Linked DNA regions of Alligator mississippiensis. The protein of the gene in region 2 purifies or fractionates together with the protein of the main gene of each other region. This does not show direct contact. Links are inferred from orthologs where the notes say so. Each region holds a gene or a part of one and is shown on either strand. Other genes may lie near its edges.

What was found.
Region 1: the proteins of POLR2D (region 2) and RNGTT purify together in Homo sapiens (affinity purification with mass spectrometry; 3 studies listed by BioGRID and IntAct, with this or other methods). This does not show direct contact. The link is inferred for Alligator mississippiensis from reciprocal best matches to the Homo sapiens genes POLR2D and RNGTT.

What each region holds. Positions count from the first base shown.
Region 1 is NC_081824.1:76,588,839-76,599,613, reverse strand, and holds the start of RNGTT (mRNA-capping enzyme), read left to right. Parts: upstream 1-6,794; 5' UTR 6,795-6,810; coding exon of another isoform or gene 6,811-6,881; coding exon 6,882-6,945; intron 6,946-10,775.
Region 2 is NC_081830.1:39,461,425-39,471,525, forward strand, and holds POLR2D (DNA-directed RNA polymerase II subunit RPB4), read right to left. Parts: upstream 4,332-10,101; 5' UTR 4,295-4,331; coding exon 4,222-4,294; intron 3,301-4,221; coding exon 3,120-3,300; intron 2,729-3,119; coding exon 2,633-2,728; intron 2,239-2,632; coding exon 2,160-2,238; 3' UTR 1,645-2,159; downstream 1-1,644. UniProt on the Homo sapiens protein: Core component of RNA polymerase II (Pol II), a DNA-dependent RNA polymerase which synthesizes mRNA precursors and many functional non-coding RNAs using the four ribonucleoside triphosphates as substrates.

The sequences.
Region 1 (10,775 bases), on a different chromosome or scaffold from region 2:
ACTATTTTAAAAAAAACCCTTAGATCTTTAAACTATATTTTCAACGTAATAGATTCATAGATGCTAGGGTCAGGAGGGACCTCAACAGATCATCGAGTCTGACCCCCTGCCTAGGCAGGAAAGAGTGTGGGGGTCAGATGTCCCCAGCCAGATGCCTATCTCTTCTCTTAAAGACCCCCAAGGTAGGGGAGAACACCACCTCTCTTGGAAGCCCATTCCAAATTTTGGCCACCCTTACGTGAAGAAGTTTTTCCTGATATCTAGCCTAAATCTGCTCTCTGTCAGTTCATAACCATTGTTCCTTGTTACCCCAAGAGGCGCCCTAGTGAACAGAGCATCTCCGATCCCTTGCTGCGCCCCCTAATGAATTTGTAGGCGACCACAAGATCACCTCTCAGCCATCTCTTGCAGAGGCTGAAGAGGTCCAGGTCCCTCAACCTCTCCTCATAGGGTTTGTCCTGTAAGCCCCTAACCATATGAGTGGCCCTCCTTTGGACCCTCTTGAGTCTATCAACATCCTTCTTGAAGTACAGCACCCAAAACGACGCAGTACTCCAACTGTGGTATGACCAATGCCACAAAGAAGGGAAATATTACCTCCTTCGATCTATTTGTCATGCATCTGCTGACGCATGATAAAGTGTGGTTAGCTTTGCTGATGATTTCATCACACTGATGACTCATATTCATCTTGGAGTCCACTATGACTCTGAGATCCCTTTCCGCTTCTGTGTGGCTGAGAGGGTCACTTCCCAGCCAGTAGGTGTGCTGGATATTTTTGCACCCTAGGTGCAGCACTCTGCACTTGTCCTTGTACTGCATCCTGTTGTGTACTGCCTAATTTTCTAACTTGTACAGGTCTGCCTGCAATCGTTCCCTATGCCCCAGAGTGTGTACTTCACCCCACAATTTAGTATTGGCCGCAAACTTGGACAGAGTACACTTTTACACCCACATCCAATTCACTGATGAAGATATTGAAGAGCACAGGTCCAAGGATTGAACCCTGCGGGACCCCACTACCCGCATCCTTCCAGGTTGATACCGACCCATCTACTACTACTCTCTGGGTGTGACCGCTAAGCCAATTTGCCACCCACCGGACCGTGTAAACATCTATGTCACAGACTCTTAATTTATTTATGAGAATGGGATAAGATACCAAGACAATAATTTTCTCTTTCAACACCATCATGATGCAAATATTACTGGGATACAAAATGACTAGTTATTTAGGTTTAAATAAGAGTAAAGGTTTATTGACAATCAACTAATTTTACTACAATTTAGTAGTAAACACCCAAAAGCATTTATAGTATATATAAATAGTGCATACAGTCCAGCACAGGCATTAAACAATCACATGGCAAATTAATTCAGTTGGTCATTAAATTAAAGGAAAGTCTTTAAAAAATCTATTTAATCTTTTATGCCAGGGGTTAGCAACCTTTTAGGTACAGCAGGCCAAATTAGCTCAGCTAACTCTGGAGGTGAACTGCCCCTCCCCTGCCCAGCACCCCTCTTCCAATCCAGTCACTGTGTGACCCATTGCTGTGCTCCCTGCCCAGGAACAATGGTCCCTTCTTCAGAATTGGTGTTGAGGTCCTGGTTAACTACATAACAACAATTCTGTATTTTCCCCAGACAAGTGCTATATTTTTAACATGAGAGAACATAAAAATACCATACTGGTTTTGACCACAGGTCCATCTAGCCCAGAATCCTACATCTCACCAAGGTCCAGTACAAGGGCAGTCCCTGCCTGCCCACTAGGGCTGTGCAAAATTTTGCCACCAGTTTTGTTTCAACGCTGTTTCAACTCATTTCAAGGTCAAAACAGCAAAATCGAAATGGAACAGATATGGTCGAAACAGCCTCGAAACAAAATGAGGCAAGTCGAAACGTTTCGCCCATACGCCATAATGGGGAAGGTTGAAACAGCTTATAACTTTGTCATTTCTGGCCTGATTTGGATGAAACTTGCAGGAATGGTAGCCCCTGCTGAGGCCACAAAGCCTGCTAAATTTTAAGGAGATAGATGCAGGGGCTTTGGGGAAACTGCCCCCCAAAATCTTGAAAGCAAAACTCATGTCATGTGTATGTGTTAAACCACAACTGTTCACCAGGGCACCATTGGGTAAAACTAGGAGTAATGATCACAAACTCCTGGAAGATCATTTCAGGCTCAACCTTAGGAAAAACTACTTCACAACTAGGCTGTCCAGACTGTGACCATTATTCCTAGTTTTCCCCAAGGGAGCCCTAGATGTACGCTTCTGATGTAGTGGTAAGCTGCTACCAAGTCCCCTTTCAGCCTTCTCTTTTTCAGACTGAAGAGTCCCAGATCCCTCAGCCTTTCCTCATACGGGTTGCTGTGCAAGTCTCTGATCATATGGGTAGCCCTTCTCTGGACTCTCTCAAGTTTTACCACGTCCTTGTTAAAAGTGCGGAGCCCAGAACTGGATGCAGTGCTCCAGCTGCGGGCTCACCAATACCGAGTAGAGCCGAGTAGAGCAGGAGAATCATTTCTTTGCAATGATTTTGCTGGTTTTGCTGGAGATGCATCAATTGATGCATGCTAGAGTATTGTTGGCCCTGCTGGCTACAGCATCGCACCGCCGGCTTATGTTCATACTATGGTCAATTATTACCCCCAGGTGTGTGGCGGCAAGTGATCGGGGATCTTCAGTCCTGCTGGTTGATGAGAGGCAGCAGTTGCACAAGCACCCATGTCACGAGATTTGCCTGTCAGCAGCTAGGGGTGCAGGGCCCCAGAACCCCCCTGCACCGATCTCCTTGACAGCTGGCAGGCTTTGTGGCCACAGCAGGGCCTGGCAGCCCAGCCTGCAGTAGTTTCTCCCCTCCCTGTGCCCCAGGACGGACAGAGTTGCACAGGCACCCATGACATGAGTTTTGCCAGTCAGCAGCTAGAGGTGCAGGGCCCCAGAACCCCTGCACCTATCTCCTTGAAAGCTGGCAGGCTTTGTGGCCTCAGCAGGGGCTATCAGCCTGCAGCTTTCACCCTGCTGCGCCTTAACACACACAGTGTCACCCATGTCACGAGTTTTGCTTGTCTGCAGCTTGTAGTACAGTTTCCCCCAAACCCCTGCACCTATCTCCTTGAAACTTGACAGGCTTTGTGGTCTCAGCAGGGGCTAGCATGCCTGCAGTTTTGACCCCACTGTGGCTTAACACATACACATGACTTGAGTTTTGCTTTCAAGATTTTGGGGTGCAGTTTCCCCAAACACCCTGCATCTATCTCCTTGAAGCTTAGTAGGCTTTGTGGCCTCAACAGAGGCTACTATTCCTGCATGTTTTATCCAAATCAGGCCAGAAATGACAAAGTTATAGGCTGTTTTGACCTTCCTCATTATATTCTATGGGCTAAACGTCAAAACAGTTTTGCCTTTTCAACCCTGTTTTGACAGAATGGAACGGAATGGAACAGCTGTTTCAAATCGAAACAAAATTTGAAACGGAACGCTGTTCTTTCGAAACATTGAAATGCTGGTCAAAACGGAACGTCGCTGTTTTGCACAGCCCTACTGCCCATTCCCCAAACCCTCTGGAGCTTGTCTTGGGGCTCCTGCCTTGACAGGTCCCACGACATTCCCTAGCACACCATCCTAGCAGGCTGGGGAATACAAAACTAGTCTACTTCTGAACAGCCCACTGCTGCCAGCTCTAGATTCTTGTGCTTCACATTACACACTCACTCTGATGCCCTCAAAGCCTGCCTAGACACCAATGGGCAGGGCACCTTCAGGAAGGGTGAGAGTCCCCAGTGGAACAACCCATATTCTACCCATATTCCCACAAGTCATTGGGGACATTGGTTGACAGGTCCTGCATGGAACTGTCTCCATGGGCAGGTATCTGACTTGCTTCACTGATTCCCCTGACACCTGCCCTTCATGTCAACAGAGAGAGATCTTGGTGCCAGGGCTAGATTAACACATAGGCAAACTAGGTACATGCCTACGGCCCTAAGTTGCAAGGAAGGCCCTGGTGTTTCCCTCTATGGCGGTGGTGCGAATGGCCCCGTCTGCCTCCCTTCCCTTCCCCTCCCTTCTGCTGGCCTTGCCTCGGTGGTGGCTGCTTCCCAGTGGCGGCTCTGACTCGGTGCTTGGCAGCACCGAGTTGGGGACGGGGGTCTCAACTCGCCTGGGGCCCAGAAGTTTGTTTGTCTATGGCCCACTAAAGGGCTAATCCAGCCCTGCTTGATGCATGCCTTCTTTGTGTGTGCCAAACTGCAGCCTCTCCACCACCTCCTCAGGAACCTCCTTCTAAGGTTCTGGCTGCACTTCTCCCTACACCTTTTATTTTATGTACTCCCTAACCATGGCCCTGCCAAGTCCTGGGATCTCTTAGTCAGCCTCCTCCTGGCTCTGGCCAAACTTGCCATGTACCAGAACAGAAATGAGGCCCTTGCTTGGGGGAATCCTGAGTGATTCCAGAGCGCCCCAAGGGATGACAAGATCAAATGGTCACAAACTCCTCTGTGACCGTTTCAGGCTAGACATAAGGAAGAACTTCTTTACTGTCCAAGCCCCCAAGGTTTGGAATAGACTGCCACCAGAGGTGGTTCAAGCACCTACTTTGAATGTCTTCAAGACACTTTTGGATGTTTATCTTGCTGGGATCCTATGATCCCTGCTGACTTCCTGCCCCGGGGCAGGGGGCTGGATTAGATGATCCTCCAGGGTCCCTTCCAGCCCGAACATCTATGAAATCTATGAAATCTATGATTGTGGGACTGTTTTTCTGTTACTCCTTTGTGCATGTCTCTGGGCAGTTTCACTGGGGGGTGTCCACAGACTCCATGAACACAGATGAGGGGCAGTGGGTGCTGTCTGGTGTTTTCTGCTTGGAGTTTTCCCTTGAAACTCTTATTATAAGAGTCCTGTCTGTTGGTTTTTTCATTTATTGTTCCCTGAAAACAGCTGTTACGCTCTTAGCGGCCTCCCTAACTGAAGGAGACTTACAATTTTCTTGTTGGGCCTAGGACCACTGCCCTTTGTGTAAGAAAAAAGCCTGCATCTCATAGTAATGGACAGCAGATGATAAGGGGAAGTTTATGTTAAAAGTATGTAAGGTCATATAGAGCTATGAAAGTGCTGTCAGCTCTAGATACAAAAAAATCTATAATCTGACTGTGTTCCTGCATGACTCTGTCATTGGACAAATAATTTCTTCACAGGAAAAAAGAAATTGCTCATCGAACTGCAACTAGTCAGTGTACCGACATCAGAACTGACCCTTCGCACTTGTTTGTTGCCTCTTATACACTTTCTAAATATGCTTGTGAGTGACTCCCTGTACTCGGAGCGTGTCTACAATCAGGCTTCTGACTACAGAGTAGTGTGGACTTGTCCTAGCTAGTTAGGTTGGGTACCGGTGAGTCTAAGGGTATGTTTACACTGCAGCAATTTGTTTTGGCCAGGACACCTCCATGCACACATTTCCCACCTACTCCCACTGACATGCTCCAAATTCAGAAATGCTTTGGCGAGGCTGCCCCTCTGTGGCTGTTTTTAAGAGCTTGGTCTTTGGTGTACTGGGAACAACTTCACCCTCCTATCCTGGATTTGGAGCAGGATTGAATATAGGCAGGTCACACTCTGGGGGCCATGCTGGAAGTAAGCTCTCGGCATGGCAGCACGATGCTTTGTGTGGGTTAGTTCCCACCGTCTTTACTCAGTGTCTCTGGCAGGATTTGGAGCACAGGCTGAGTTCTGCGCAGCCTCTGCCTGATCACTACCAGCCCCTGAGAACTACATCTGTGGTACTACTTGAGGCCACTAGCGTCTTGCTTCAGCTTTGGTTTTTGTCTGTGGAAAAATAACAGAGCTCTTCTTCTGTGCCAAAGAAAAAAGCACTGCAGGCTGGCATGATTCAGACACTACAGGCTTCTATCTGAAATCTCTGGGCTAATCACATGTAGGTGTTTGCACATCTAACCAGGCTGATACTGGGGCACCTTGGATGAGCATCATAGGGCCCCCATGTTCTGCCTCCACAGCTGCAACTGGAGCGTGTAGGAATCTCCTCAGAAAGGGGTGGATCCTGGGGGAGTACTGGCATACTTGCACCCTCCTTGGAGTCCTGTCCATCTAATGTTTAAAACCAACTGCCCGGCAGTGGCAGCAGCATTTCTAGTCAGGCAGTGCTGAGGCAGTCAACTGACTTCACAGCTCTTTATAATCGACCCCACCCCTTCTAAACTCTTCATTCCCACAGCACTAAGGACCCGCTCTTCTTTTTTAATGGTCTTGCTGTTCCACCAGGTGAGCCAGCCTCTGTTTGGCCAGCCCTCGGCTGCTCCTGGTAACTCGTTTCACAGCCCTGCAGCTGTTTTTAACTCATTTCAATGAAGCTGCCAGGTTAACCCTTTGGTGGGCCCTAGGCAAACTCCTGAGCTGAAGATGAGATGTTTATATTACTTTTTTCACTCAATAATTATATTGTGTAACATAAGCACAGCTGGACCCCTTCTTCACCCAGGAACCTAGGCACGCGCCTAGTTTGCTTCTGCGTTAATCTCTGGACGCTGCCTTAGGTTTTGCTCGCACCTCAAGGCGCACAAGCCCCGCCCCCGGGTCTCCCCGGGACCCCAGTGACGTGACGGCACTGAAGGGCGGGGCCAGGCGGGGTCTCCCACACCCGCCCCAGGGGCCGCACGGCGGGGATGCTGAGGCCCCACCCCCCGGCGTGCAGAGCAGTGCCGGAAGCGGAAGGTGCCGGGGCGGAAGTGGCTGTGCGCGGTGCATGGCGGGCCGGCGGCGGGCGTTGCGGAGTCGGGGCTGAATGAAACGGCGGCGGGCGCGGGCCGCGGAGCGCTGGGAGCCGCCGGGGCAGGGGCAGGGGGCGGCGCCGCCATGGCCTTCTGCAAGATCCCGCCGCGCTGGCTGCGCTGCCCCCGGCGGGGGCAGCCGGTGGCAGGTGAGCGGGGCGTGCCGGCCCGGCCCGGCCCGGCCCGGCCCGGGGGCTGCGGGGTCCGGTGGCGTGTCCCGCCTCTGCCGCGGGGGCGAAGGGAGACGAGCTGCCCAGTGTGGGGCACTCCGCCCTGCCGGGTGCCCCCGGCCGCAGGCCCTCGGGCTTGGCAGTCGGGTACCTCTGGGGTCAGCACCACCTCCTTCCCCGCTCTGCCCTAGGCACGTGCCCCTTGGCCTCCCCTCCCTTCCCTTCCTTGGGCCTCCTGGGGCCTCTTTCTCAACCCCCTGCTTCTCAGCATCCCTCACACTTGTGCATACGGCTCGGCACCTGGTCTCCACAGGCCAGGTGGACCTGGTGGCTAGGTGCTGTCCCTGTGTCTCTATGATCACTGGCTGTTTCTGGCGTGAGGGCAGAAATCCTCCCCCCTGGTTTTCAGTCTCCAGCAGTGACCTGGGTCATGTGTGACAAGTTCACATTCTGCACCGGGAGCAAATGTGTGTCAGGCCAGGCAGAGCTGGGAAGCATCCCTGCCAGCAGCCTGAAGGAGTGGATTTGGTACTCCGGGTACATCTTGTGTTACATTATGATACAGTGATATAATTAAGCATGCATTAAATAACAATGCTATCATCTAGTATATCTATTTTTGTTTTTGAAGTGAGGTGCTGTTAAATTCTGACAAGTTACATAGGGGCCCCATGAGTTTATAAAGGTTGAGAACTGCTGCTTTAGAGTGAACACCAGCGCAAATATAGGCATGTCGCATCTTACACGGGGGGTTACATTCTGAAGGCAGCATGTAAAGCGAAAATCGTGTATAGTGAAATCACATATTACCATGCCAGTGGTGACTGCCTCTGCTTCCAAAACCTCCCGCCGTCACGGAGCTGTGCTTAGAGCTGTGCGGCCGGCGGCAGCGGTGCAGCGCGGGGTGGTGGTGGGGATGGCTGTGCGCTGCCCGGCCACCGCCACGCCCGGCAGCTGGCCACACAGCTCTGGGTGCGGCTCCATGGTGGCGGTGGGAGGTTTCGGAGGCAGAGGCAGTCACCGCTGGCAGCGTGGTAGTGGCCAGGCCTCCAGGTAAGCGGCAATGCCGTGTGCAGACTCAAGCCCTGCCCCACCTCCCCACCTGCATATAGTTGAATTCACGCAAGTTAAATGCGCGTATGATGCAACATGCCTGTATATTTGTTTAGTTTTTCCACACTGTACTCTGACTGCTTTCTTTAGATCCTTGTGGCTCAAGAGACCTACCAATCTCTTCTGCCAGATTTCTTTTTGGCATCAGAAACCTCTCAAAATTTGTCACTTAGTTTTGTTGGTTTACTTACCCTCTGATTCTTCGTTTGTACAAAATGTGTGTGCCTCATAGATGCTTTTATTTTGAGGTACCCAGGCCACTTCTAAGGATGTTAGAAGTACACCGATACATTGGTCTGATGTGGGATCAGCACTGACGTAAAGAAAATTTTCTGTATCGGAAATCGGCCCAATGTGGCTGATAACTTGTCCAGTAAATGCCTGTGCATGCACACAGCTACAGCTCAGCACGTAGGCAGTGAGCAGCAGAGCCACCAGCATGAAGAGCTGCATGCAGCTGGTAAGTCTGGTGTGGTGGAAAGGGAAGGAACATGGAGGCGCAGATCAAGGCCCCCATGGTGAGGGAGTCCCTTGCATTGGCCCCCGTGGGGTCGGGGCAGGGGCTGCCTGGCTGGGGTGGGTATGGGGCGCAGGAAGGAGAGTGAAGTGTGCAGCTCACGTTGCTGTTTGTGGCTTGTCCAGTGCTCGTCTGGTAGCTCCCACCTCTGCTGCCGCTCGTTCGGGAGGGCACAGGGAGGCAGGACGTGTGCCCCTGATCTGCATGGGGCAGGGCGGGCTGGGGCCAGGCTTTTCCCAGCTGGGCAGATCCGAGGGCACATCCCCCCCCAATGCCCTCCCGGATGAGTAGTGGGAACAGTGGCCGGAGCTGCCAGATGAGCCGTGCGCAGTGGCAGGAGCCGCCCCCCCCAACGAGCTGTGCCTCCATCCTATGCCGACCCCAGCCCACAGCTAGAGCCTTCCCTGTGCCGTGCAGATCTGGGTGGCACACACCCCACCCCTGCGGATGAGCCACTTGTGGCTCTCTCTCATGCCTGTCCCTGCCCCGGCTGGTCAGCATGTGCACCAGCTCCATTCCCTCCCTCACCACAGGGGCCTTGATATGCCATCCCCCCACTCCCCACACACACACCCCTTCCACCACACCAGACTTATCAGCTTCAAGCTGAAGAGCTGTGTATCGAAAATTGGATTGGTATCATAGGATTCGTAGATGTTGGGGTCGGAAGGAACCTCAGTAGGTCATCGAGTCTGACCCCCTGCCCTGGGCAGGAAAGAACTTTGGGGTCTGCTAGGAGCTTGTCCAGCCTCCTCTTGAAGACCCCCAAGGTAGGGGACAGTATCACCTCCCTTGGAAACCCATTCCAGATTCTGGCAACCCTTACTGTGAAGAATTTCTTTCTAATGTCCAACCTAAATCTGCTGTCTGTCAATTTTGGCCATTGTTCCTAGTTACTCTAGAGGGTGCCCTAGTAAATAGAGCATCTCCTATTCCGTGCTGCCCTCCCCTGATGAATTTATAGGCAGCCACAAGATCACCTCTCAGCCTTCTCTTGCAAAGGCTGAAGAGATCTAGGTCCCTCAGTCTCTCGTTGTAGGTCCTTGCCTGCAGGCCTCTGACCATATGAGTGGCCCTCCTCTAAGCCCTCTCAAGGTTCTCCACATCCCTCTTGAAGTGCATCTGCTAATGCATGAGAAAGTGTGGTTAGCCTTGTTGATCACTTTGTCACATTGATGACTTAGGTTCATCTTGGAGTCAACCATGACGCCAAGATCCCTTTCTGCTGCTGTGCTGCTGGGAAGGTCATCCCTCAGCCTGTAAGTGTGTTGGTAGTTCTTTTTGCCCAGGTGCAGCACTTTGCGCTTGTCTTTGTTGAACTGCATCCTATTTTGTTCTGCTCTTTTTTCCAGCCTGTCCAGATCCGCCTCGATCTGTTTCCTACCCTCTGGTGTGTTAACTTTGCCCCATAATTTGATATCATCTGCAGACTCGGACAGGGTGCTCTCCATGCCCTCATCCAAGTCACTGATGAAGACATTGAATAGCACCAGTCCGAGGACCAAGCCTTGCGGGACTCCACGGCCCACATCTTTCCAGGTCGATATCGACCCGTCCACCACCACTCTCTGCATGCAACCCCTAAGCCAATTTGCCACCCTCCTGGTCGTGTAATCATCTACTTCACAGCCTGTCAGTTTGTTTATGAGAACAGAATGAGATACCATATCAAAGGCCTTCTTAAAGTCTAGTTAAATGACATCTACCTCAGCATCTGCATCTAAGCATTTTGTGACCTGGTCATAAAAAGAAACAAGATTAGTCAGGCAGAATGAACTCATACTGATTTCCTTTCAGCATTATTTCCTCTGCTGGGCTTCCACAAATGTGATCCTTAATGATTTTTTCCAGAGTTTTCCCAAGGATTTAGATGAGACTAATTGGCCTATAGTTTCCTGGTCCCTTCCTCCTCCCCTTCTTGAAAATAGGGACCACATAGGCTCTTTTCCAGTCCTCTGGGACCTGACCAGAGCACCATGAATGCTTGAACAGACGTGCCAGCGGCTCTGCCATGACATTGGCCAATTTCTTCAGCACCCTTGGATGAAGTTCATCCAGACCTGCTGATTTGAACACATCCAGCCCCTCCAAGTGCCCTTTCACTAAGTCTGCGCTAACAGTTGGTGGGCTGTTGTCCCTCCTGTGTCTGTCTGATCCAAATGTGAGATGAGATGTGTTT
Region 2 (10,101 bases):
GCCGCCGCGCCCCGGGCCCGCGCCCCGGGCCCCGACGCTCGCCTCGCGCCCCGACCCCGGAAGCCGCTGCCTCACGCGCCTCCGTCGCCGCAGCCAGCCGCCATCTTCCCCACCAGCTACCGGGGTGGCGCACGCGCCCGACGTCAGCGCGTTCGAGGCGCCGGCCCGACCCGGCCCTCCCCTCACAGGGACCCAGCGGAGGGGCTGACACCACAGCGGCTCTGCGCACGCGCAAAGACAACGGCGATGCGGCCGCGCGTGAAACGCGCTGGCGCAGTCAGGAACTGAGGAAGCCTGAACGTGAGGCTCAGCGACGGGGGCGGAGCGCATGCGTAGTCCTATCGCACAGCCCACGGGGGGACGGCAATGAGCGTGCGCAAAAGCCCACTTATTGCCTCCACCAGCCCTCACCGAGGGGCATGCGCGAGGCGGCGCTGAGCTCCCGCCGGCTGCAGTCTGGGGCACCCCCCCGGTGCCACACGGATACCTTGGCTTCCTCTGCTAGTTTCCTACCCGCCCGCCTCACTGCAGCTGTTCGTGGCTCCAGCCTCGACCCCCTTTTGCGAGGGGGGGCAGTCACGGAGCAGCGAGACCCCCCGGCCTGTCACTGCCCCGGCTGCTGAGCAGCGCCCCACCATCTCCCTGCCAGCATCAGCCGCTTTGGTTTTACAACCTCCGGGACCCAAACGGATCTGCTGCGGGGGCTGCTGGTTTGTTTTTTTTAAAAACATGGGCAATCATTCAGTCACTGTTGGGGGGGGCAGCCTCAATTAGTGGAGCATGATGTTGGTCTCCAGGGATCAGTTTCAGGCCCTGAAGCTGTAAGACTTATTCCCTAACCTAAAGTCACCTGGTTTGTTTTTAAATAGCAAGAAATAACAATCTCCCCTAATTATAGACTTTTTTTTTTTTTGTGGGGGTGGAGATTTTGGTAAGTTCATTAATGTTTGCTTCCAAACCACCAACATTAAGATTATAACAAGTAAAGAGGGAAAAGGTCCTGGAGAGAAAGTTCTCATTAAAAGAATGTCAGGATTTTTTAAGGGATATGTTTTAACTGTCTCTGAAGCACTGGGCCTGTGAGGCAAACAACACCTGCCAGTTACAGCTGGGAACCAAACAAAATTGAAAGGAGCTGGGTGTAGCTTATAAGATACTCAGGGCACTAGCTATTTTATTGTTACTTTTCCTGGTATTGTTCTGACCCCTAAGATTATTCTAGCTACAAAAAACAAACCTGTCTGCAATTAAAAAAAAAACAAAAAAAAACAGAAAACATCTTATTGAAAGGGACAAGTAATGTCACCCCAGCTGAGCCAAGAAGTTTCACTGAGGTTTTCACTCTTGTGCCTGATATATTAATAAATTTTTTCCAAACCAAGCTTACAAATTAATAGGAGTAGCACATTTCTCTTCCTCCCCCCCTCCCTCAAATAATGGTGAGCAACTCATATGCTCCTGTACAAAAAAATAAAAAAAGTTCAAAAGAAAAAAAAATCATGCAACATCTCTTCCTCTTTGCTCACAGTTCTCTCTCCCCCGAGATTTTTCTCTCATTCTACATCATTATATTTAAATCAACAGGATTTTCATAAATAAAATTGGACTGAATCAGATACTGTTTACAAACCACAGGATCATACATACAAATAGCGCCTTTTAATTAAAACTAAAAAGCTATACAAAAGTATTCTTAAAGGGGGAAAATCCCACTATCTTGATCAAACATATACATAAAAACCACCACACGAAGTCTCATCAGTCCTGATTCCATGCATCATTATGATTGCCAACAACCAGTAGGAATAATTTCTCCATCTTGGGGAACAGGTGTACACAAGGAAAAAATTGTACAGCTGCACTTATTCTAGAAACCAAAAACACTGTAAAGATTCACAAGTCAGGGACAGGCTGTTAGGAAAAGCAAAGCACTGACACCACTCAGACAAGACTTTCTAGGATCCAATGGCTCTCACCATAAAAGAGTCTCTTTTATGGACTAACTGGCCTCCCATTTGAATGCATCTGTGGTGGACACCAGGCTGGAGTACTCTGCTCCTGGCACTTCCTTAGCTCAGGTCTGGGAGCAGCTGATTTGGTCTGGAGTGCAAAAAGCACTTGAGTTTTTCTCTGTTCATAAGAGGGGCTGGGTGTTAACCCTAATATTGGAAGCTTCGTTTGGTCTGAATATCATCAAGAATCTGCTGTAACTCCTCATCCTCAAACCGGCCCTCTAGGCTGCAAGATAAGAGCAATGACAGTAAATTAATGGCTTTAGACACATTTGTTTTCAAAGACCCAGAATTCCTCTTAACATATTGTTTTGTACCAACTAGCAACTCCTCCAACAGTGTAATGCAGACACTGTTCTGAGCCTCATATTGTGGCTGTCATGCAAACCAGACACCATCCCTCCTTTGACCTCTTTCAAGATAGTAATTTTGTAATGGCCTTCACCCACAAGACATCTGACTGAAGTCCTATATGGACCTGCACTCATAGGCCAGCCTAGTGTGTCTGTGAAGTTTTCAGTGCAAAGGAAAAACCCACAGGTGACCCCAGCTTGTCCTTTCTTCCTGTATCTTAGAGCCCCACAGTTCACACAGCAGCCCTGCTAAATACAAATTCTCACCTGGGAATCAGAGCCTTGGCCTCCTCAGCTGTCTCAGGACAAAGATTAGCTAAGCACGCCAATTCAAATTTATGGAGCTTCTTCTGGAGCAATAAACTGCAGATAGGGAAAATAAGATGGTAAGAATATAGCTACAACAGAATAAAAAAGTACAGGAAAGGAAAATGTACCAGTGGAAGCAGTAAAAAAGGAGGGAAGAAGGAGGGGCAAATTAAAAAAAAAGAGTGCATTTGCATAAGTACAACCCCACTTCAACTACCACTACTACTAATCATCCCAGGCTCCAAAAAGACTGATCTGATGTCACTCATAAATGTTTATTTTGAAGGCATCTATCATAACCCACTCAAGAAAGAACATAGAGCCTGGCTGAGATCTAAGTGCACCCCTCTTCTGGCAACATAGCTAAGGCATTTTAACTGCGCAGTACCAATACCATACATAATAAATTCCCTGACACAAATCTTTCCTGGTCTCTCCTACTCACCTGCGGACACTGGCAATAGTCTCTCGGTTTTTGAAGCGGCTGAAACGAGCCGTGTAGTTCAACGTTTTCATGAAGACTTCTGAGAGCTCCTGCTCATCCTCTGCACTCTCATTCTGCTGCTTGCGATGCTCAAGCAGCATGTGTACTTCTGAATTGAGAAGAGTCTCGGCAGTTTCAAACTCTAGGTGAAAGAGCAAAAAATCTCAGCATGAGAGAGGGATCAGCACTGATAATGAAGCCCATGTCTATATCCTTGCTTTTGTATTTGTGTTGGGGGCCTCCTGGCCCTGCTTCAGCTCCCCCCACCCCACGGGAGCAGATCTAACCCAGTCCCACAGGGGAGGGGGCCCTGCCAGAGGGAAACAAAGCAGGCTGGCCTGGCCCGGCCCAGCCCCATCTGGCTGTGTGCTGGGGAGGAGCATGCAGATATGGCAATGGGCAGGGAGCAGGGAAGGCGGTTTTAATACATTTATATCGGAGGCCAAATTAGCCAAAACTAAATCCCAATCCAAGAGTCCAGAATCATAAGTGGCCCTACTATCGGCAAACATCCTGCACCCTCACCTGGGGCTTCAGATGTTTCCAAAACCTTTGGCAGGCATCCTACTTGCAGGCCCAAGCCTAGAGGTTTGGGGTTCAGATGCCCCTGAGTTTTGCTTGCCCTCAGCCGTCAGGCCCTCGGAGCAAGTGCCGGAGGAGACTCCCATGCCCATAAAGTGGGCTTAAACCCGCTGCACCTTGGCGGGCCCTGAACCACGCCAGAAGAGCAGCTCTCCTGCGCAGCGGGTCAGGACAACTGCCTGCGTTGCCACACATACATGGTATTTCCCCTGCCAGGTTAAGAAGCCCCGACGCTTGTCCTGAGCTGTCAGGGGGAGGGCGGGTGTATGAATGGCCACTGCTCCCCCGCGGCCAGGTGCGGCGAGCCCCGGGGAGCCCGGCGAGGCCACCCTCGCTCACAGCCCGGGCACCTCGGGGGGCCTGTCCGCGGCCCCACGTGCGCGAGGAGGGAGGGGCCAGAGCAGAGCAGGTCGCGGCGGGAAAGAGCCCGCCGTCCCTTCTTGCTCCCGGCTCCTTCCCGCGGGGGGTGGCGGCCGCGCACCTTTGGGGAAGACGAGCTGCGACGCGTCCTCCTCCACGTCGGCCGCCCGCGCGTCGCTGCCTCCGGCCGCCATCGCCCGGCCCGGCCCGGCCCGGCCGCGCAGGCGCCGCGGAAGCGCAGCCCTCCCCGCCCTGTTGGGGCCTCGGCTCCCGCCAGGGGGCGCCGCCGGGCCGCTGGCCGCCCTCGGGGCGTGGCCGCACGGTACGCGTCGCGGGAAAGGCGGCCCAGCGCTCTGGGCCAAGTGCTGGTGGCCGCGTCGAGCCGGCCGTGCAGCTACAGAGAGACAGTCAGTGCTTGAAAATGAGCAACAGCTGCGTGGCCGGTTCCTGTGCAGCTCTCACTGGAGCGCAGAGCAGAGAGCAGGTTGACAGCCCCAGAGGCCGGACAACCAGCGCCTTGCAGGAGGGAGCTGGACGTCCCAGGGCTCGAGAGGGGCCCAGCTGTGCTGTGCCAGGCAGCCGGTGTCTTCCGAGGCTTCCCTGCGAAGATCCGCCTCAAAAAAGGAGTAGCAAATCCTGCAGGTCTTCCCATGGTTCAACGGTTAGCACAGCTTCTGCACTCCTGATGCTTGGCCCTGACAGAGATAAATACATCAGAAAGACAAGTATTTCACAGGCAAGCTACAAACCCAGGTGCCTGGCAGCAGACGACTGTGGAAGAAAGTCAGCAAATCGTTGCATCTTGAAATCAGCTTGACAACCAACATGACTGTGTAGTGACGGGGGCTTATTATTGCCATACTTCTCCCCTCCAAACGCTTGGCAAACAGATTTACACATTGTGCGCATCATAAAGGAATTGAAATTCAGGCACTGCTGCAACTGCAAACAACAGCATGGGGCAGCAAACAAAAGGCTCCTTTATCCCTGCCGTGATGATTTGGGGAATCTTATCTACAGTTTATGAATTTGGATTGATAGTATCAAATTGCTAGTATGACAGTCACTGAATCAGGAAATGTCTTTGTGCAGTCACCTTTCCTAACAAGGCCTCTTGTGTCCCTAGCAGACCAGGGAACTTAATGACAGTATTTTAACTGAACAGTGGGAATGCTAATGAGCTTTGCTGGAACAGGGAGGAGAACCTACATTTTTTACCTGTTTGTAGGAAGAAGATTTGGGAAAGGGAGATTCATCAAATAGGACACAGAGATGAGGGGGGAGGTTAAAAAGGACTTGGAACGAAAGGAAAGCCAGCTACATTGGAAACTTTGAGCAGGAAAGGGAAGTAATGTGTAGGCTTTCATAACAGCAGAGTGGGTTAACTACAAGACCTGCCAAGGTCATCGAAGGCAAGCAGAGCTGCAATACTCTGCAGTCAGAAAATAAGCCAGGAGCTGCAGAACAAAAATCCTGAATAGCTTGATCTCAGACTATGCTCCAGAGTGTGGAAGCAAGTGAGGCAGGAAAATGGCCATATTTTTAGGTGTTTTTGCCTGGATCTGTTTATTTCCCATGCCACAATGTAAAGAGGAAAGATACTTCAGAATCTTGTGCAAGTTTAATTTCTAACCAGTATCACACCCTTGAAGAATTCAGTTTTAGCTATAATGACCTGCAGGTAGGTTCCTGATGGTTGAAACACATATTGTAGTGGGGATGATTTGGGGAGTGACACCAGGAAGCTCCATGTACTTGGAAAATGTCACAGTATCTCTGAGCACACCCAGTAGGGCATGGCTTTTCTAATAAAGACCCATGTTTTTGCAATCCAGATCGACTACCTTGATTATTGGGAGAGGGTGCATTTAAGCTATTGGGTTGTTATGGGGATAAGTGCTGCTCTTAGGTGTTTGAAGTAGATAGACTGAAGGGTTTGAGTTCCAGGAAGGAGGAACAGACAGGGAGACTGTGCCTGGGAGATGTGGTAGGCAGGCCAAGAAACTAAACAATGCTGCAACCTACTGATACCCACAAAAGCATAAACACTGATGGAGTGAATTTGAACCTAATGCAGCAGGCAGGTAAGTGTCCAAAACAGAGAAGCCCAACCACATGGGTGATAAATAGATTGAGAGGTGGAGTTTCCAGAACATAAAATAATTTGCTAAGCTACAGTCTAGCTATTTCACTACAATTACCATCCTTGGTCTTCTGAGAAAAAGTATGTTGGGATTTTAAATTATGGCAGGTGGTCAGGACATCTGTTCTGAACCTCACTTCCAAAAATAGAATCTCTAGGCACAAATAGTCCAGACACCTTGCCACACCCATTCAATGGTGATTCAGGGACAAGTGCTGCCAACAGAATGCTACAATTTCCTGCCATGGTTGTTTTTATATAGGGAGACTGTCCATTTAAGCATCACCCAGGCACATCCTGTTTAGCTTGTGAATCAGGTAAGATCACCATCCAAGCTGGTATGATATCATGCCATGCCACAACCTTGAAGAAGGCACAGAGAGAATGGTTTTTTGGTTGTACAAAGGACTTTATTATTTTTAGCTGTGTCAAGGTGAGCTGCTTTCTACAGGTTTGGTAGAAGCAAAGCTTGAACCTGTTCTGTTGTATTTTTGAGGTTATGCATCAGCTAACCCCATGGTTCTCAACTTTGTTAGGCTCAAGGCACCCCTCAGAAAATGCCAGCTCTTAGTTTTCACTCATTTTTGGACTACAGAAAAATAATAGAGCAATTATTCTATTGCAAAGAACTCAGACCACGAGAGGTCAAAATGGTTTTTTTAACATTTTGGATCCCTACCTGAAATATCTGGGTTTGTACTGTGAATCATGTTTGTACACCTAACAGTGCTAATTATATGGCACCCTTGAAAGAATCTCAAGGCACCCCAGGGTGACACAGCACTGACCCTGATTAAAAATCTCTGGGCTAACCAATCACAGATTGTTACTGTTTGTCTTCTGGATAAATTAATCAAACAGAGAAGCTGATTGAAAACTACTTCAGTTTCCTAAATAGTACAAGGAGAAAGCCATTCAAAAGGATTGGATAAAAACATCTAAAGGAAACATCTGGCAACCTGGACAATCTCCATTAGGTGTACAATAAAACAAGAAAAATCAATGCCGGTTTTATCGGAGAAACTTTCTAAAAGTACTTGGAATCCTGGTGGCTTCTCAAATAACGTATCAGCTGAGCACACTAAGTTTCTTGGAACAGTAGGTAGCTCATATAGTTGCAGTTATTAATTTCACATGGTTCTTTCCTATAGGACCTTTCCACTGAACTATGCAGAGAAAACAATAGAAAGCCACACACTTGCAGGAGTTTATCACTAGAGCTAAAGAGGCTATACTGAAAAGAACATTGTTTCCTTTTAAGAACTCATTTAGAACTAATGCACTTGGTTGAGTTAGGTAGGTGATAAAGATACAGGCGACCCTTGCCATTCGCAGGGGATCTGTTCTGGAGATCCCCGCAAATGGCGAAATCCATGAATATGGCACTGCGTTCATGAATGTCATGAATGGAATGCCCCCAGCAGCTGGGGAGGGGGGCACGGCTGCACTGGCATCGGCGGGAGCCCAGTGGCAGCAGCAACTGCGGAGCTCCTGAGGAGTTCCTGTAAGTGTGTTTAAGATGCAGGTTGGGCATTCGTGAATATTTGAAACCGCGAATGCCAAACCCGCAAATAGCGAGGGTTTCCTGTATTCTCAAATAGAGCCTGCCTCTTCTCTTGTATTGTTGTAACCTCCCATAAATGTCTTTCAGAATCACATCAGTAAGCAGTGTTCATTCTTTGCAGCATTCAAAATTAATGCAAGAGGAAGCAGATGCTTTATCTTTAATGTGTGCCTGTACTTTTCCTTCTCTAAAAAAATCTATTTCAGTGGTGCTTAGGAATTAGATTTACAGAAAAAGGAAAGATGATGAGGGAAAACAAACAACACAGGAGATTTGATACATGTTGTCTGTTTATGTCCTAAAATGGAACCATATAGGCAAGAAACTTAGAGACTGTCAAATGTGAGATGTCAGTGGAGCCACAAATCCTATTCCTTGTTCTAGCTAAGAAAAACAAACAAACCAGTACTGATCACACTGCTAAAGACAAGACACTGTACTTAATGGATGATTGGTCTGATCCATAATGGAGATTCCAACATTCCTTTTATTTAAAACCTATGTGGTAGCAATTACCTATGCTGATGTAGATCGTTGAAAGAAACAATGCACCAGTAACAGTTTAATAAATGCTAGGAAACTCCCTTATCAAAACAAAACTGTGCGTGAGAGTGAGACAGACAGATATTTTTGAAATAATAGAGTCCTTTTGTTGACCTTTGTAGCAGACAGCCTCACATTCACTTTTTTTTGTTTGAAAACCAGAACTCTGACAGAAGGAAAAGAGAATTACTACTTGTATATTTAAATCTCTTTTAATCAGGTCATTAGCACTTCTAGCATACCTGTTATGAATAACCCAGAACCTAGCAATATTAATTTCATCCTCTTTTATATTCCACTGCAGATGTTTGCTTTAATGACACATTTACAAAGTACATGTCATCTTCTATCTTCCTCTGTTTGGAATTCACAGGACAAACATTCATGTTTCAGTCTCTCCATGTTTAACAACAGAAAACAGATTTGATGCTTAAGAATGGCTCATAAAAGTGTGCCCTGTGGTATCCTACTGTTCCTTCTCCTAAATACTACTTTTATAATAGTTTTTACAATAAGCAATATTCTGTGTCAGTATAGATATGACTGTATGAAATCACAAGTGAAGAATGTTTGCCTTTTCCCCCCTTACCTGTGAAAATGGCATTTTTTAATTATGGATTGACTTTTAATATAATCCACACAGAAAATAAAGCTCTAATTTACATGAGTCCTAAAACATTTAGGTTTGTGATAAATTTAAAATAATCTTAATTTTAAAATACTTGAAGTGGTTTTGATTTTTGTTAAGTTATCCTGTTAAATCTAATACACCAGATTAATTCTGGATGGGAGCAATCACCTTTGTTTCTAATAAGGAACTAGATTAAAGGTACAGGATAAAGCTTTTTTTAAGGGACTAGATCCTATGTTGTTCTTTTTCTGGTACAGTCATACATTTATTGCAGTGTACAATCTTGTTATGCACTTATTTCCAATTGAACTAGTTTTAGAAGTGTTCATTGGATACTGAGGTCAACCCCATTCTCGTTTACAGATCTCAGAACAACTTACAAGAGTTAACCAACACATCTGCCACACAGTCTCACTTGACTGATCTTGATAATCAGAATGGGGAAAGCCTTAATTTAAAACTAAAACAAGTTATTGCTTTTAACTTAAAGGATCCTTATACTACCACAGCTAGTGGTACAGTCAGGCAGTTCTGTCTGTTCCAACTCCACCTGGCTGGATGTTCCACATGCTGCTTTTGGTAAGACTAGACCTGGGAGAAGGCAGGGAAATGGACTCAGCTGACTGGAGAAGTTCTGGTTATAGCTAGGGACCAGAAGCTTGTTTCATGACATCCAACATTGATAAGGCAAAGTGAAGAAAAATGCTCTTTGCACCTCCAGTGAGGGTCCTTCATGGAAGATTCTAGGGTGAAAAGCAGAGAAATCTAGCATTCAGTTGATACTGGATATGGAACAAGAGATCAAGTGAGTGATGTGTATATCATAAAATATGTGGGAAAGCTATCCCATTCCAGTTCCTATGTTGCTGAGGGTTTGAGGGTTTTTTTGTAATATTGTTTGATAGTCTATAACCAGGAGTGCTGTAATTCTGTGGCTCCAGATTTTACTCACAGACCCAGCCGAACATCATCTTGGCCACAGAGTCCTCCCCATCCCAAAATTCATCCTCCAGCTTCACGACAGCTGACACTAGGCACCATTACTGAAGTTTCCCAGAATCACTGACATTTAGGTCTGAAAAGGACCTAGTTCAATCTCCTTCCCTGAAGCAGAAGCAAG